Caenorhabditis elegans: one gene and its partners. The protein of the gene in region 2 interacts with the protein of the main gene of each other region in a pairwise test. Each region holds a gene or a part of one and is shown on either strand. Other genes may lie near its edges. The genes, in order: npp-4, npp-13 and npp-1.

Region 1 (7,692 bases), about 13 Mb from region 2:
TTTGAGTCCTCTAACTACAAAATTGCCCGTTTTAGTGAAGTTTCAAAATTGTGAATTTTTGCCATAAATTGGCCATTTTTGCCACTTTTTAATAGTTTTTGACGGACTAAACCTAGATTTTCTGAATTTTGCATGTATGAATTACCCGTTTTCAACAAATTTAGACAACTTTTTATTTTTGCCCAAATTTTCTAATGACTGTCCTTTTTTTTTATTTTGGGCAAAAAAATAATTTTCCTGAAAATGTTCAAAACTACTATATTCTGAAAAAGGTCAATTTTTAGCCTGCAGTAATCATACAAAACAACTAAAGTAAGCCCACAGTACCCTTACAGTACCTTAACATCATCCCCACCAACTCCCAACAAAATACCTCTACTAAAGCTAAAAATTCAAATTTCCCAAACTACAATAATTCTACAGTATCCCTACAGTACCCGTACAGTAATCCTTCAATACCCTTATAGTACCTTAATTTTTGATGAAAAATTCAAAAATTTTACAAAAAATCAGATTTCATGGGAAAATTTGCTGTGTAGAGACAATGTAAAATTAAAATCGAATAAGCTTAATGTAAGAATAGGGTAAGAACAGGAAAAGCGTGAGGAATCGAAAGAAAGATCAGAAAAAATAAATATTTCACAAATTAAATAATAAAACCAGTCATCATGAAATAAAAAAATAAATAATTATTTCTTTGAACTGAACAAAAGACCACTGGAATTATTAGCAACAGTCGATGCAAATGGTGTAGTTGTGGTGGCTGGTTTGGTTGATCCGAAGAGTGATGTAGTCGGAGTTGTGGTGGTGGCAGCAGCTGAGGATGTTGCAGTAGAAGTTGTTGCACCGAATAGAGATCCTCCAGAGAAAGCTGGTTTTGTGGCCGTTGATCCGAAAAGAGAAGTTGTTCCTGAGAGAAATTGAAGGTTTAGATTTTAAAAATCATAGATTTTTTGGACTTTATTGCCAATTTTGACGATAATCCTTTTTTGGTTCGGAAATATCGATTTTTCTCATTATTTTGAGAAAAATCTATATTTTTTGTTCCTTCTTGCAATTTCGCGGAAAAATTAAAAAAATTTCTACTATTGTTGTAATTTTGACAAAAAACTGTTTTTTTTTGGTAATTCACAATTTCGATGAAAAATTGTTGAATTTTGGCGAGAAACTTAACGAAAAAAAAAACAAAATTTTTTAACTTTGAACGCTTAGAGTTTTCATTTCATTAGTTGAATTTTTTGTCGGAAAAATTGAGATTTTTTTTTGCAATTTCGACAAAAAATCCACTATAATTCATTTAGAAAACATCGAATAATCAATTTTGGATTTTTCGTAAATTATTTTACCGCTTCAGAAAATACCGAAAAACTCTTTAAAAAAATAAAAAATTTTTTGCAGAAATTGCAGAAAACAAATACTTTTTTCTGAAAACTACAAAATAGGCTTTATTTTTTTGGATTTTTCGTGAAAATTTAAACCATTTTCACAAAAAAAAAATAATTTTTTTAAAAAATTGTTCCGTCAAAAATGCAAGAAAAACCTTTTTTGCCGGAAGACTGGAAAAAATCTTTTTTTTTTTTTTTTTGGTCAATTTTCTTTGAAAATTACAAGAACCAAAAAAATGCGTCAAAACTGCTTTAAAATCGTAGAAATTGCAAAAATTCCAAAGAAACTTTCTTTTTGTTACAAATTCGAGTTTTTTTCACTAAAATTTTTTCTAGTTTTCTCTAAAAAACCGATTTTTTTGAAATTTCATCGGATAAGCATAGATGTCAGTTTTTTTTTCAAAATTTTTGTTGTTGTAACCAAGGGTGTGATTTTTCGATTTTTTCGATTTTTTCAGTGAAAATCGAAAAATCGAAAAATCGAAAAAATCGAAAAATGACACCCTTGGTTACAACAACAAAAATTTTGAAAAAAAAACTGACATCTATGCTTATCCGATGAAATTTCAAAAAAATCGGTTTTTTAGAGAAAACTAGAAAAAATTTTAGTGAAAAAAACTCGAATTTGTAACAAAAAGAAAGTTTCTTTGGAATTTTTGCAATTTCTACGATTTTAAAGCAGTTTTGACGCATTTTTTTGGGTTCTTGTAATTTTCAAAGAAAATTGATAAAAAAAAAAGATTTGTTGTAGAGATGCTGTTTTGTAAGCTTATTTCAAAAATCGAAAATTTTTTTCGATTTTTTCAGGGAAAATCGAAAAACCGACACCCTTGGTTGTAACAACTGCAAGTTACAAATTTGATTTCTCGTCAAAAAATGTTAAAAAAACCAATTTTTCATCAAATTTTGCATTTAAAAAATGCTCAAGAAACTTTTTCTTGAATTTATAGATTTCAAGAAAGCCAAAAAAAAACAATTTTTTTTTTCCTTCAATTCTACACACCAGTATTTCCAAAAAGACTGGTTCCAGTGCCCAATCCAAGCCCTCCAACAGCTGGAGCCGGAGCAGCCGGTGCTCTCAACGAGCTTCCAATGATTGCCAGACTAGATTGTGATGGGAAGAACTCGGCTCCTTCTCTAACAATCATTTCAGAATTCGAAGCTATTGGTGCTGCTGCTGAAGCAGCTGTAGTCGACCATTTTCTCAATTGAGTATATCCTTGTTCAATTAGAAAATCTCGAATTTCTTCAATTTCTTTTCCGAGCTCAGTGACATGATGATGTGCATTCGAAACATTTGCATCACATCTCAAAAAATATGCATCCAGCTCCTCCATTGTTATCGATTTTTCACCGGTTAGAAGCTTCTCGAATCGATTTCTCAGGAAATTCACTCTCTCTTGAAGTGCGTCCATATCATTTCCATAGAAATTGCACAGCTCGGCGAGGTGTCTGCAAAATAGTTGGAATTAAAAAACAGGTGGAGTGGTGCAGGGCGGCTGGAACTTTTCTGGATTTTTCTGGTATTTTGACGAAAAATCCATTTTTTGGGGCCACAAAACCAAAAAATCCAAAAAAAAAAATGTCTCTCGCTTCGAGAATATTCTGTATTAAAATACATAAAAACATGTATTTTAACAGTTGTGACGTCAAAAATGTATTTTGATACATTTTTCAACATTACTAGAATAACCACATTAAAAATAAACTTAATCATCAATTTTTTGGTTTTTTGTTTTTGGTCCCAGCCCTGGTGGAGTGCCGAAATCCGATACTGTCTTATTTTAGATCAAAAATGGCCTAAAACTACCGAATTTTGTTATGAGACGCTCGAAAATCTAGAAAAATGAGCCAAATTTAACAAATCCATCCTTCTCAAGAAAATATACTCAAAAAGGTCCAAAAAAAGCTGAAAAATCCAATTTTACAAGCTTGTAGTGGCTGAAAATTAGTTTTTATCCCCCCTTTTGCATATTTTAGTCGTAATTCTCAAAAATTTCTCAAAAAAAATGCGGCGGCTTAAAATTTTGGAAAAAAATGGTCAATTTTTAGCTAAAATCTCAAATTTTGGCAAATTTTCAGTGTTGAAGCGGTTGTGACTTAATTTTCATTCGATTTGTATCCTTTAATGGAAGTTTTCGCAATTTATTACGTGTTATTTCGTTGATTGAGATGCTTTTTCGGTCGATGCCGGCACAAATATGATAAAGTATCTCAATCAACGAAATAACACGTAACAACTTGCTAAAACATGCATTAAAGTATGATAATCGAATAAAAATTAAGTTCCAATCGCTGCAACACAGAAAATTTGCCAAATTTTGAGATTTTAGCTAACAATTGACCATTTTTCCAAAACTTTGAGCGGTCATAACTTTTTTGAGACATTTTCATAACGAAATTCTTCGGCAGTTTTGAGTCATTTTGGGTCTAAAAAAGTAAAGTATCAAGAATTAACGTTTTTTTAATGTGAATTACGACGAAAATATGCAAAACTTGGCGAAAAATCAATTTTCAGTCACTACAAGCTTATAAAATCGGATTTTTCAGCTAATTTCAGCTCTTTTTCGATATTTTGAACTGCCAGGGGTGGTTTTGGGGTTTTTTTTTCATGAAAAAGACGGATTTGTTAAATTTTGTCCAATTTTCTAGATTTTCAAGTCATTTCAAGACGTTCAAGCGTTAAAATAGCTCAAAAACGAACTCTTTGATAGCATTCATATAAGTAGTCTGATTTGCAGATCCAGAATGCTCTTGAACTCGTTTCGTCGTATCACAAAGTGTTTTATCAGTTGATACAAGATATGCAATCCTTTCTGATGATTGTGTAGCCGTCAGAACATCCCGTCGAACTTCCTCAATCCATCCACGTGTCTTATCGATTTGTTCTTCGATTGCCACGTTGTCAATTGACATATTCTCGGTTTCTTCCATAAATTCTCGATTTTTCTTGAATTTATCCTCGATCAATGGGAGTAAATCTCTGATTAGAGTGGCCGCTTGTGTCCATTCACCGTCTTTCGAGGCATCTTTTGAGTCTCCGGTGCCTGTGAGTGATGACGTGGCAGTTCCTGAAGCATTTGGAAGCCCACCACCACTGCTGTTTTGTTGCTGGATTCCGCCGAGACCCACTGAAAAACAAAATGATTTTCAGGCTGCGCAATCTCAAGGCGGCAAACGATTTTTTCCGGCAAATTGGCAAATTGCCGGAATTGAAAATTTCTGGAAAATGGGAAAACCGACAAATTGACAAGTTGCCGGTATTGAAAAATTCCGGCAAATCGGCAAGCCGGCAAATTTGACGAAATTGAAAAATTCCGGCAAATTGCCGAATTTGCCGGAATTGAAAATTTCCGGCAAACCGACAAATTGCCGAAATTGAAAATTTCTGGCAAATGGGCAAACCGACAAATTGCCGAATCTTCCGGAAAAGCGGCAATTGCCGAAAACTTCCTGCAAATTGCGGTTTTGCACATTAATGTTGGAAATTTTAGAATTTTATTTTTTTCCGGCAAATCGGTAAACCGGCAAATAGCCAAATTGCCGGAAAACGCCAATTTTTGAAGAAAAATCGACAAAATAAAGCTTTTAAATGGATATTGCTTATTTTTCACGCATTTTTGGCTGAAAAATAGGAGGAAAATAAGGATTTTTGATGTATTGTTAGAAAATTTTCCAATTTTCTATAAAATTAGCGTTGTTGAACATAAAAATCGTACTATATTCGATTAAAAACACACTTTTGAGCTGAAAATGTCCGATTTTCAGATTAAAAACGCTAGTTTTGATAACTAAAATTTTGTCGAAATTCGGCGAAAAATAGGATTTCCAAATAAGGAGTTGAAAGTGGCAATTTTCTATTTAAAAAAGCATTTTAGAGCTGAAAATTCGCAAAAAATGGAATTTTTGTGCTGAAAACAGAGAAAAAAGAAGCTCCAGCATCTATACTAACATGGAGCAGCTGCAGTCGCTGGTGGAGCTCCAAATGATGTCGTTGCCGCCGCCGCCGGAGCCGTGCTCGATCCAAAAAGTCCACCTCCAAGCCTGAAAATTCAATTTTAGATGCATCGAAAGCTCTAAAACCAACGTCGGAGCCGCCGATGTGGTCGATTTCGCGCCAAAAAGACCTCCAGTAGCCGGGGCAGTACTTCCGAACAGACTTCCAGTCGCCGGAGCAGCCGTTGATGCTCCAAAGAGCCCACCAGTCGGCGCGGGAGCTGCTGTGGTGGCTGTCTTGGCTCCGAAAAGTCCTCCAGATGGTGATGCGGTGGTTGTTGTCGAACCGAATAGTGGAACTGAAGACGTTGAAGCAGGTGTAGGAGCAGTTGTTGAGCCGAAAAGTCCTGCAGAAGCTGGTGCAGGAGCTGTCTGAGATGCTCCAAAGAGCCCTGATGACATGGCAGCAGCAGGCGCACCGAAGAGGCCTCCAGGCTTTGGAGCAGCAGCAGCCGTTGAGCCAAAAAGAGGTGTTGTTGAAGCAGCTGGAGCCGTGGTACTTGTACCGAAAAGCGACATTTCTGGAAAATTAAATTTTTATGGAGAAGAAAGAAAAGAAATTGGGAAATTATTGATTTTTAGACATTTTCTATTCAAAAACAGAGGTTTTTGATGGTTTTTCCTTCGGGAATTCGAATTTTCGAAGCGAAAATCACTTTTTTTTTTTGACAATTTCGCTCAGAAATCACAGAAAACACTTTTTAACAGAAAAAGTGATTTTTCATGAATTTTGAGATGCTTATCCAGATTTTAATGGAGAAAAAACGGTGGGGATTCGAAAATTGCCAAAGAAACGTTTTTAGCATCCAACATTCGATTTCCGATGAAAAATTATCAAAAATCACGAATTATTCAGGCTAAAATTGAGTTTTAGGGCATTTATCCCACGTGTCTATGAGAAAATTTTGAAAAGTCAATTTTAGCACAGAAAAATTCATCAAAATCGACATTTCTTAGAGAAAAATATCTGAAAATCAATTTTTGGAAAAAAAATAAACAAAAATATAAGTAAAAAGAGCTGGAAAACTCGAGAAATTGGAAATAAATCATTTTTAAAAACGAAGAAATCGGTTTATATGCAAACTACAAGACAAACGACAGGGTGGAAAACGAGAAAACGGGGAAAAATCAACAAAAATTCAAAAAAAAAAACGAGAGAAATTATTACAAGGAGGCGAGCGAATTGCGGTGAGCCGTGTATGCCTCCTTATTCTTCTCGTTGACACCCTCCACGTTGCGTGCCATCTCGATTGCCAGGTAGATGATCTGTAATTAATTATCGATCGATTTTGTATGGGAAAATGAGGGATGAGGGGTTTTTGGCTGGAAATTGAAGTTTTCCCAAAAATTTAAGCTAAAAACTGCAATTTCCAGCAACAAATCATGCCGAAAATCACAAAATCTGAGTTTTCTAGCTAAAAACTGGGCTAAAAACGCAAAAACTGCAATTTCTAGCTACAAATCATGCTGAAAATCACAAAAATTTCCAATTTGGGTCCCACTAACTCTTGGAACAACCACAGTATTTTCCGGACTGTAAGCCTTCGAAGCATGAATTCTCATCAGTGTTCCCATTGAATAATCGTCGACGATATCCTTGAATTGCTCACAAAACTCGCGCCATGTCTCCTTGGCTCCGCCGTCTTTCAGCAAACTCGTCGTCACCTCCTCCACATTCAAATCGGGGAATGAGCTTCGAAATGCGGCGAGAATCGCATCCTGATGCTTGTTGAGCCGAAGAACCCGAGTGTCACACCGCATTATCAGATTCATGTGAACTTCGGACCGTTCGCCGGCTTTGATCGCCCAAGCCATCTCGATCGATTCGTCGTTGACGTATTTATCAGCATCTCCGTAGTCAGTCATTTTGTTACCTGAAAATTTGGAAAATTAGAGAGAAAATTGACTTGAAACAGGAGAATTAGAAGAAAATCATGTAAAAATCTGCAAAAATTGCAAAAATCCAAGTTTTTCAACAAAATTTGCGGAATTAAATTACATTTCTATAATCCTACACACTTAAATAACATTTTAAAGTGAAAATTACGCATGAAAACTCTGAAAAAAGCCTGAAAATCTCTAAAAATTGCGAAATAAATTCGAATATTTTTTAAATTCTCCAAACTCCGCCCATTTGCAACTGCCGCACGGCGTTTTGCCATCCCCGCGCGCGCAGTGGGGATTCGATAATTAATGGAATAAAACCGATTTTAAATGCAAATTATAGCAAAAACAAACAATTTTTCAATATAATTTAACAAAAAAATAGCAAAAAACAAATTTAACATCATTCTTCTTCCCAATTTCCAAC
Region 2 (5,035 bases):
TATATGAGGGAAGCTAGAATTCCGTGTTTCGGCATAAAAATCATTATAAACGAGCACGGAACTCTGGTTCCGCTCATAAATTGAAATGGAAGAGTTTTTGCCGAACTAGGCCAGGTCATATCTGGGGGTAGATTTACGGTGCGTTGCGTGTCGCGTCGCGGCTCGATTTTTGTTGTAAAACTAAATGTATTTGTCCGTGTGGAGTACACGACTTTCCCAAGGCGATTGTCAATGGAGCGCGAAAAATTCTATGAGGAAGGCCAGAACCCCCTGTTTTCCATGGTCTCCCGGAGTGTTCATAATTATTCGAGCACGACACCTCACGAACTCCAGAATTCGCGGGAATTCGATTCGCGCGGGGACAGCAGTTTTTGGCTATTTCCGGCTTCTATAGAAATTCTTTTTTGAATTTTTTGATTTATAATATTGTTGAGAAGCATCATACGAATTGAAAATGTGTAAAATTATGAAATTTGACCGAAAACTGAAGGTTTTACTTCAAAATCTATCAGAACCGTCAGTTTTTCGATTTCGTAGTCGTAAAATATGTCATTTTGTAGAGAGAAAAGAGTATTTTACAAAAATCGACGTTTGAAAATTTAAAATTGTTTTTATTAAAAACTGAAAATCTTTTATAAAAAAAAACGATTTTAAAGTAAAATTGTTGATTTTTTGAATATTTTTATATTAGAAATTAAAGGTGGAGTACCGAAATTTGAGACTTTGCTTTTTTAGACCTAAAATGTTCCAAAACTACCGAATTTCGTGGTGAGGCGTTCTGAAAATTTCTCAACAAAAAAGTTATGTCCGTTCAAAGTTTTGGAAAAAATGGTAGATTTTTAGCTAAAATCTCAAATATTAGCAGCTTTTCAGTGTTGCAGCGGTTGGAACTTAATTTTATTTGATTAGCACTCTTTAATACATATTATGGTAGTTTATTACGCGTTTATTCGTTGATTTAAGCCCATTTTCGGTCGATGGGTGCACAAATATAATACAATTTTGTGCACCCATCAACCCAAAATGGGCTCAAATCAACGAAAAAACGCGTAATAAACTACCATAATATGTATTAAAGAGTGCTAGTCAAATAAAAATTGAGTACCAACCGATGCAGCACTGAAAAGCTGACAAATTTGAGATTTTAGCTGAAAATAGACCATTTCTTCCAAAACTTTGAGCGGTCGTAACTTTTTTTTGTTGAGAAATTTTCAGAACGTCTCATTACGAAATTTGGTAGTTTTGGAACATTTTGGGTCCAAAAAAGCAAAGTCTAAATTTTTGGTGCTCCACCTTTAATTTAATATAAAAATACTCAAAAAAACAACAATTTTACGTTAAAATCTTATTTTTTCTAGACTTTTCAGTTTTTAATAAAAACAATTTTCAATTTTAAATTTTCAAACGTGGATTTTTGTGAAACAGACTTTTATCTACAAAATTAAATATTTTACGACTTTGAAATCAAAAAACTGACGGTTCTGATACATTTTAAAGAAAGCCTTCTGTAAAACCGTCAGTTTTTGGTCAAATTTCATAATTTTAAACATTTTCAATTCGGAAAAATGCTTCTCAACAACATTATAAATCAAAAAAATAGAAAATAATATCTATAGAAGTGCGCGCGAAACGAATTCCCTCGAATTCTGGAGTTCGTGAGGTGTGCCGCGCAAGGGATTTTAACGAACATCTCGTTCCATAGCCTGTGCTGGATTCATGGGAACTGCGGCAGGTCTCGAAAGAAGCATGTGGTTGAAGAATGCTCGATCCGTCTCCACTTTAACACGAGAAATGTCCTCGTCGAGCTGGAAAATTTAAAGATTAAAACGTTGTTTTCATGATAAATTATTAATTAATCACGGCCACCTGGAGTGTTCATAATTATTAGAGCGCGCTCGCGCGGCACCTCACGAACTCCAGAATTCGCGGGAACACGTTCCGCGGGAACAGCAGTTTTTTTTATTTTTGACTTCTATAGGAAATATCTTTGATTTTTTGTTTTATAATATTCTTGAGAAGCATCATCCGAATTGAAAATGTGTAAAATTATAAAATTTGGCCGAAAACTGAAAGTTTTACAGAAGGAAGCCACTACAGTTTTTAAAAAAATGTATCAGGACCAGTTTTGCGATTTATGTGTCGTAAAATATGTCATTTTGTAGAGAATTAAAAGTTTCATAAGAATTTTTGTTTGAAAATTTAAAATTGTTTTTATTGAAAACTTAAAAATTGAAGAAATAAGATTTTAACGTAAAATTGTTGATTTTTTGAATATTTTTTTATTAGAAATTAACGAATTAAAATTTCAAACGAAAATTTTTATGAAACTTTTAATTCTCTACAAAATGACATATTTTACGACGCATAAATCGCAAAACTGGCGATCCTGATACATTTTTTCAAAAACTATAGTGGCTTTCTTCTGTAAAACTTCCAGTTTTCGGCCAATTTCATAATTTTACACATTTTCAATTCGGATGATGTTTCTCAAGAATATTATAAAACAAAAAATCAAAAATATTTCCTATAGAAGCCAAAAATAACAAAAAACTGCTGTTCCCGCGGAACGAACTCCCGCAAATTCTGGAGTTCGTGAGGTGCCACGCGAGCTCGCTCCAATAATTATGAACACTCAAGGAGGCCGTGATTAAGTACTTCTTCCTCGTCAATATCATCCATTACAGCTTCAGGCACGTCCACGACACCTTCATCAGTGAGAGTATCCTCGGCGGTGTGACTTTTCGGCTGGCGGCTCGGAAGTTCGATGCCACGCTCCCCAAACATCATCTGCTTCTGAACTGAGTGCGTCTGACGTGTCCAGTCGCCTTCTGAACCGCCTAAAATACCGCAAAGCTCCTGCTCGACGCCATTTCGGACTGTGAATTGCTGCGAGTTCTGGAAAAAGGGAATTTTTCGGTGTTTTTAACATTTTAAACATTATTTACAAACCTCTTGGCCGACACGGTTGGTTTGGAAAATCGGATTAGCAAGCAATTGTGCGAATCCTTGATGATCAACTCTTCCGAGGATCTCCGTAAACTGTAGCATCCTGAATTGAATTAAAAATTGAGAAAATTACTGGTTTAGGTTTTTTCAAGGATTTACAACATTAACCAGTTTACATTAACCACATTTTCCAGTTTAAACCCTGAAAAATATGAAAATAATCGAAAAATATCGTTAAAAAACGTTTTAAAAACCAAATAATTCTCGTTTTTCGCGGCAAAACGAAAATTAATTTTGAAAAAATCGGTGCAACGACACTCCGAAATCCCGCATGAATCCTAGGCCAGTATTTCGAGTTCTAGGCCACCAGCTTCTTGGCACATTGCCAAGAGCTGAATTTAAATTAATTTCCGCTGGAATTGAATCGAATTCAGTACAAATTGAGTGGGAAAATGAAAAACTTACAAAAAAATTGAAAAAAAAAACATTTTCGATGAAAATGTTTCAAGAAAATTGAGTATTATTTTTAAAGAAAAACGAAAAAAAAGACATAAATTCGGGAGCGTGTCGTAGCATCCACATTATCGACTTTTCCGGTTAGAAGTACACCGCCAGATGGTAGATCGGTCTCAGGAACTCATGGAGCAGATAATAAATCACAAATTGGATGATTTGAACACTAAAAAACATTAAATTTCTTTTAAAAAAATGAATTATTTAGTGACAGTTGTGTCGAGAGCTTTTTTAATCAGTAAATGTTTTACTGGTCTATGGAAAATAATTATAAGTAAAAATTACTGGAACACAGAATTCAGAGAGCCCGTATTGCGCAACATATTTGGCGCGCAAAATATCTCGCAGCGAAAACTACAGTAATTCTTTAAATTCTTTAAATTACTGTAGTTTTCGCTACGAGATATTAATAATTTTGCGCGTCAAATTTGTTGCGCAATACGCATTCTCTGAATTTTGTGTTCCCGTGATAATTCAACAATTTTTCAGTGTAAAACAAATCAGGGATTTCTTTTGAAAGTTTCGGGTTTTTTTTCCACCACGCGGGGTACTGTGGCACCGGTTTCAGCTGTGTCAATGGGGAAATGTGTGAAATTGAAGCATTCCCAGGCATGATGGGGGTCATTTTACAGCTGAAAATCGAGAAATTCGAATTTAACGACAATTTAAAGAACATTTTTGAAATGAAAAAATTTCCAAAAAAATTGTTTTTTTTTCCCCAATTTCACTTTTTTCTCTAAATTACTCTAAAATTCACATTCTCCTCATTCTCAGCTTCAAAATGACTCCCATCTTGCCCATTTTCTGCCAAATTTCAAATTTTCGGGTCCCACCACGCAGGGTACTGTAGCACCGGTTTCAGATGTGTCAGTAACCTAAATAGAGGGTTCTTAGGCATGATGGGGACTCATAATTTGAAATGGAAGAGTTTTTGCCGAACTAGGCCATTTTGGTTCGGCCATATCTGGAGTAGATTTACGGCGCGTCGCGGCTCGGTTTTAGTTGTAAAACTAAATGTATTTGTCCGCGTGGAGTACACGACTTTCCCAGTCCGGCGGGCGATTGTCAATGGAGCGCGAAAAATTCAACGAGGAAGGCCAGAACCCCGTGTAATTTTACATTAAATTTCGCTTTTGTTGATTAGAAAAACAAGAAAATATATTCATAATTTTCTCTAAAAACAAAAAAAACCAATTTTTATAAAAATTTCGTAAAAACGGGACACTTAATTAGAGTACTACGGGGTTATTGCCTTCCTCATTGAATTTTTCGCGCTCCATTGACAATCGCCTGCCGGACTGGGAAAGTCGTGTACTCCACACGGACAAATACATTTAGTTTTACAACTAAAATCGAGCCGCGACGCGACACGCAACGCGCCGTAAATCTACCCCAGATATGGCCGAGCCAAAACGGCCTAGTTCGGCAAAAACTCTTCCATTTCAAGGGAAGCCAGAAATCAGTGTGTAATGTGAATACACCAAATTCGACGCGCAAAGTTTGAAAATTCACAAAATCCTCACCAAAGTGCCAATTAATATCCAATTACCACCACACCCACATCAATCTCAATATA
Region 3 (5,973 bases), on a different chromosome or scaffold from region 2:
TTTAGGACCAGAGTGTCTATTTTTGATTTCAAAATCTTCCTCCTCATCTTTATCGTTTTCATCTTCAGAATCGAAGAGTTTTGGACGTTTTGAACTGCGCGAGGTTTTCTGAATTATTCCAACTTAGTTTACGAGTATTGTCTTTACAGCAAACAACTTTATGAAATCGGGCAATTGCTGTTATAAGAGATTTTTATCTCAAAAAATTGAAAAACTTCCAACCTTTTCACCATTCGCGGCTGTTTTTTCTGTTTCTTCATCCTGATCATCCCCATCATCCGAATCTTCAAATACAATGCGTTTTGTCGTTTTTTTGTCAACATTAGCAATGTCAGCAGCAATTTGACGATCTCTTTCTCTCTGATCTTGAATTTTTTGCCTCATCGCGGCTCGACGAGCTTCATCTGAACGTTGACGTCTCTTTTCATCATTGTCTTCATCGTCCATTTTCTGAGATACATTTTGCAATAGTTTTTATGTGATTCTAATTATTTGAAAATCGCAGAAATTCGAACGGGAGACAACCGTTATTTGACAAAACTCAAACAGAAAAATGGAGATCAAATTTATTCTAGATAGAAGTTTGAGATGAATTAATTCAATCTATTAAACAGTGTGTGAAATAAGACAATTAACAATTTGAGGAGGTCAGATCAACAGTTACAACCAAGAATGAGGCATATTTTATGAAAAAATGTACTCGTGATGACAGGCGAACATAGAAAAAAGCGAGCTTTTTTGCTCAATATGTATAAGTTTTAAAAACAATTTTCTGCCACACATCTTAGGTCGAAACAGAAATAACCAGAAACCTGTCAGAGTTTGAAAGAAAATAATGATGATACAAAAGAAATGAGCGAATTTTTAAATTAATACGAGAAAATCTGAAAAAAAGATTTTCAGAAAATCTTTTCTAAAAAATAAATTATCCTTCTAGAGCCCTTCTACAAGCTTCAAGACTTTCGATTTGTTGATGTGTTGACTCGTAAAGGCCAGAGCAAATATTAACAAATTTGGTAAGCACTCTACGAGCATAGTGTTCATCTTCAATTGTCATATCAAACATTTTCCACATTGATTCTTGAAGTTTATCCGGTTTTGATTCCAAAATCTCGTAGAATTTGTCGACATAAAACTGAAATTAATTGTTTTATACAAAATTAAATCATAATTTTTTCTCACCTTCACTTGATTATGACGATTCATTTGGGCAAGAAGTGTATCAGCTTTAGCTTCAATTACATCCTCATCAGTGTCAATTTGACGTGAATATCTTGATACAATCCATTGTGCAAGCATAACACGAACAATTCTGTACGAGAGAGTTTTATGGCGATTACGAATAATCTCCATCTTAACAACTGCATCTGCATGTTCATGCTGAAATATGTATGACATTTGTAAACTTTCATCAAGTTATAACAACTTACATTAGCTTCTTCAACACGATTTCCCAATGCATTAATTGCCTCGTGGAATAGTTTCGACTCGCCAACTTGAGCCTTCTGTCTGTCTCTTAATGCTTCCCATCCACGTACTGGAACAGGAAGAAGTTTGTTTGGAGCTGGGTTTTCTTTGATTGCTTGTCTCCAAATACGCTCATCGATTCCTGAAATGAATGAAATTTGATACAATGCGAGGGAGGAAAACGAAAATCTTTGTTAATAAATGATAAACATAGTAAAAATAACGAGTAAACTAACCATCAGGAACTGTCTCCAAATATCTATCTCTTTGTGCTTTCGACATTCCAACTTTAGGAAGAACCCTTGTTTTATCCACTTGCAACTGCGATTCTAATTGGGTCATTTTTGGAGCATCATTGAGGATTTGAGCAAGTTTAATAGCTCCTGCAACAAATCCGCCTTCTTTGGCGATAATACAGATTTCTGTGCATCCATCAGAAAGTGTTCTCATCGAAGTACCAGGAGCATATCGAACTTCTACATTTGGTCCGCCACCAAGAATAGCTTTGATAATTTCAAGAATTTTGTCACGGCGTTCTTCTGTGTTCAAGTTTGTAATAGGATGACGCAGCACCAAAGTTACAAATCCCTCATCGTCGGTTCGCTCCGAAATACGATTGTATCCGATTCCCTGAAACGTGACACTGTGCAAGTTTTCAGTGATTTATAAAATAAACTTACAACAAATCGTTCAAACAAGTTTCCTTCCATTGAAAACGATAGAAGCTGATTTCCATCTTTGTATGGAGCTTTTCCGACACCCAAACCGGCAGCAACTTGATTCAACTTAGCAACAACTCCATCATTATCATTTCCAAAGAGCTTTGGATCTCCGACAGCTTTCACAAATGGGTGATACTGCTGAAAAAATTTTATTTGGAAAAGCGCTCAGATATTCTTAAGATTCATTTAATTACCTGAATAACTTGTTGCTGCTGAACAACAGGCTGTTGTTGTTGTTGAGTTGCTCCAAGACCACCAAGAGTAGACCCTGAGCTGGAACCAAAAAATCCGCCTGTAGCTGGCTTTGCAGTACTCGATCCAAAAAGCGTTGATCCCGCGGCTGTTCCAGTCGACGCTGCTCCGAATGGGGTCGATCCTGAAAATTGAGCCATCAAAATTATCAAAGTTCGTTAATTAGACAATTATATTCCAGATTCACGATAAAATACTTGAAGCAATGTTTTAAAGCTAATTAGACATATCTAAATTAATTATTTTTAAGATTTAATATTAGGTTTAGTTTTTTTTTTTTTTATTCGGTTTTTGATCTGACCCACCAAGTCTACTCAATTCTAGAAATATGAAAAGCTAATACAAAGTTGATGAATACCAACCTCCAAATGTTGAGTAGGGAGGACGATAAGCTGCTGGAGCCACATTCAAGTTGTTTGCCGGTGATAGAAAAGATGACTGTGGGGCATTAGTTCCTGGTAACGCAGATGGTGTGGCAAAAGATGTTGGAGTATTACCAGAAAGACTACCAGCCCCCAAAGTTCCTGATTTGAATGCTGCCAATCTTGTGGCAACGGGTGATTTGGCAGTTTGTTGTGTGGATCCAATACCGCCGAGACCTCCAGATGTCGTTGATGATGTTCCGAAGAGTCCTGAAGTTCCAGAAGTGGTTCCAGATGCCGGAGAATTTGTGAAAAGCGTGCGGTTAGCGTCATTGGGTGCTCCAAACAAATTGCGACGGGCTGGTGAACTAACATTCTGGGTTGCTGGGGCTGGAGCTTGAGATGCTGATGTCGTAGGTAAATCGGGAAGATTTGGAAGATTCTTCGGCATGTCTTCTGCTTTGATTCCGGTGATGCCCCCACGTCGGGCAAACATTTCTGCAGACGCTCGAGACGAAGAAAACGAGTAGCAAAGAGCAACACGGGTGATAGAAGAACAGGCAAAGAAATCCGCACGACACCGACCACGACAGAGAAAAGTGAAGGTAACGAACACAATGACGACGAGAGAAGTAGAGCGATAGGAGAGAAATAACAATTTTGAATAAAAATTAAGCGCAAATCACAGAAGTAGAACCTTGGTAGGTCAAATAATTTGTCAGATCAAAAAATATATTGAGTCTATTTTCTTTTTTCATTCATTTGTTGCTGGAATTTAGAATATAATTTTTTGGTCCAAAATGTATTACTTCGATCAATATGATTTATCGATTTCCCCTCCTTATCATTGTCTAGCTTTTCTCTCAACGAGACCACACAACAGCTAATAGTATAAACTAAGTAGAAGTGACCGAAAATATCGATAATTTTGAGTAGCTTACCGGTTGTAGAAGCACCGAAAAGACTTGGAGTAGCTGTTGAAGTGGTTGGAGCAGCACCAAACAAAGTTCCAGCAGTTGAAGTGGTAGTAGTTGAAGTGCCTGTCTCTGAAATTTAATATATTTCGGTTTAAAATGCAACTTTGATTACGAAGTAAGTTGTGTAAAAGTAAAAATATCAAACTTACTTCCAAACAATCCTCCAGAAGGAGTAGAGGTATTTGTTGTTCCAAAAAGCGAAGGCGTTGATGAAGCCTGAGCAGTTGAACCGAACAGAGGCTTTGATGGCGTTCTGAAAATAATATTTTTGTATAAAAATAATACTTCTTAAAATACTAACGTGCTTCCAAACAAAGTTCCAGACGATGTTGTTGGAGCATTCGGCGTTGGAAACGTAAATGCCTGTTTTTGGGGAGTAGATGACCCGAAAAGTGACATTTCGCTGAAAACAAACGATTTTTAAGAGAAATGGGGCTTGTGAGAAGAAAAAGAACACATATGTAGTTAATGCGAGAATTCTAGAATGAAAATAATAATATAAATAAGACAATGAGCCGAATTAAATCGATTTTTGGGGACGCTTTGGCGTGCAAATTTTTTCGAATTTTGTCTGTGTACGAAGGGGCGCGTTTGCTGGCACCCTCCTCGAAGATGAAAGAATACATATTCCGAAGAACATTCAACCGTGAAAAGAAATGCATGTTTCAGGTATTCAGTTACTTCGTATTTTGCGAAAATTTGATAACTCATTTTAATCAAGAATTCTTAAATTGAATTTCGATATAAAAGATATCAATAGTAACTTCTTTAGATTTCCAGTTGTTTTGTTGAAAAATTTTTTTTTTAAACCAAACGATCGTTTAAACGATACGAATAATACTTTATTTCAAATATAATACAACATTTTGAGATGAGATCAATAAATCGTTCGGTTCTGTTCTAATTAAATCTGATTAGACAAAGCAATCATAATCACCGAAATGACACCAATAACAGAAGAAATTGCCAACGTAGCATATGATCGGGTTCCTTGAATACTCTTGAATACAAATACATCAAGAGCTCCACTAATTAACGGTGGAAGACGGGCGGTACATGGATAGGCAACAACTTGAGATAATTTATCACTGGAGACAAACCAAAGTGTCATTCCTGAAGAACTAAACATTTGAACAATCGACCACGCATCTCTTACCTGTAGTCCATAAAATACCGTACCCAATCGATGGAATTATCAAATTCCTTTCCACGTAGGCTTTTCGACGCAAAATTACACAATACGCGAAGAAATACAGTGTAGAGAAGAGGAATACTGATGTGTAGAATGGGAAAATATAGTCAAACACTTGGAAACTATCAGTTGGTGGATTCTGTTGCTTCAAATATTCAATCGGTGACATCATCAAACCATGTAGACACGCAAGAACCATTGCCATAAGGATATAACTGAAAATTCGTTTTTTTTTTAAATTTCTAAGCATGCCCAACGAACGGTAATTTCTTTGCCAAACCAGCCATATCAAATGAAGAATCTCTTTCTGAATTGCTGAGTCTTTGCTCAATCTCTTCTTGATGTTCCATTTCCTTGCTGGTCACATCATATTCATTTTCTGGCTCCGTTTCCACGTGTTTCACGAATATCAAAAGAACTCCACTCACGATTGTCAATGCAATTCCAATATAGTTCAACACATCATTTTTCACATTCTGCGGGGCAATCCATTGGAACAGCCCGAATCTTGCCACTCCCCATCCGACAATAATCTTAAAGAAGAGTTTCAGAGTAGTTTCAGAGTAGTAGTAGTAGTTTCAGTATGTTTCAGAGTAAGCTTTCCGCGTAGACACAAAACGCCTGCCTGCATTTTGAGGCAATCTGCGTCTTCCCGCCAAAATTCCGAAAATAACGAGGTAGACGGTATGGGCGCAATTGCTGGAAATTTTGAAAACCAAAAAAATTGTATCACATTTCCAAAACCTCTGATAGTATTCAATTGAAATTCATGCCACAAATAAGTATTCAAGAAATAATTTTAGATTAAAATTATTTTGAAAAACCTTTTTTTTGAGACCCGAAGAACTCGTGGGATGTCCAACTGGGGGGATTACCAACTCGGGGGATTGGCCCCGCCCACAGAACCGTGGCTTGCAATACGCCCATTTCTGCAACTGCCGCACGGTTTTAAAACTGTATTTTTCTCAATAGAGCGAGAATTAACAAGAAAAAATAATTTT

The links.
Region 1: the proteins of npp-13 (region 2) and npp-4 interact in a two-hybrid assay, tested with the Caenorhabditis elegans proteins (one study listed by BioGRID).
Region 3: the proteins of npp-13 (region 2) and npp-1 interact in a two-hybrid assay, tested with the Caenorhabditis elegans proteins (one study listed by BioGRID).

The regions. Positions count from the first base shown.
Region 1 is NC_003279.8:14,700,621-14,708,312, forward strand, and holds npp-4 (Nucleoporin p58/p45), read right to left. Parts: upstream 5,903-7,692; 5' UTR 5,901-5,902; coding exon 5,473-5,900; intron 5,430-5,472; coding exon 5,338-5,429; intron 4,517-5,337; coding exon 4,090-4,516; intron 2,838-4,089; coding exon 2,389-2,837; intron 911-2,388; coding exon 690-910; 3' UTR 502-689; downstream 1-501. Other genes in the region: Y54E5A.5 (Polysaccharide biosynthesis domain-containing protein), read right to left, coding at 6,546-6,647, 6,888-7,247; dus-2 (DRBM domain-containing protein), read right to left, coding at 7,669-7,692.
Region 2 is NC_003279.8:2,095,360-2,100,394, reverse strand, and holds the start of npp-13 (Nuclear pore protein), read right to left. Parts: upstream 3,050-5,035; 5' UTR 3,049-3,049; coding exon 2,950-3,048; intron 2,896-2,949; coding exon 2,656-2,895; intron 1,806-2,655; coding exon 1,689-1,805; intron 1-1,688.
Region 3 is NC_003282.8:9,856,698-9,862,670, reverse strand, and holds npp-1 (Nucleoporin Nup54 alpha-helical domain-containing protein), read right to left. Parts: upstream 4,184-5,973; 5' UTR 4,180-4,183; coding exon 4,082-4,179; intron 4,034-4,081; coding exon 3,930-4,033; intron 3,850-3,929; coding exon 3,745-3,849; exon of another isoform or gene 3,300-3,744; coding exon of another isoform or gene 3,074-3,299; coding exon 2,804-3,073; intron 2,566-2,803; coding exon 2,384-2,565; intron 2,328-2,383; coding exon 2,148-2,327; intron 2,098-2,147; coding exon 1,704-2,097; intron 1,610-1,703; coding exon 1,431-1,609; intron 1,381-1,430; coding exon 1,183-1,380; intron 1,136-1,182; coding exon 926-1,135; 3' UTR 560-925; downstream 1-559. Other genes in the region: K07F5.14 (NUC153 domain-containing protein), read right to left, coding at 1-108, 223-447; K07F5.12 (Transmembrane protein 144 homolog), read right to left, coding at 4,685-4,893, 4,937-5,187, 5,234-5,505.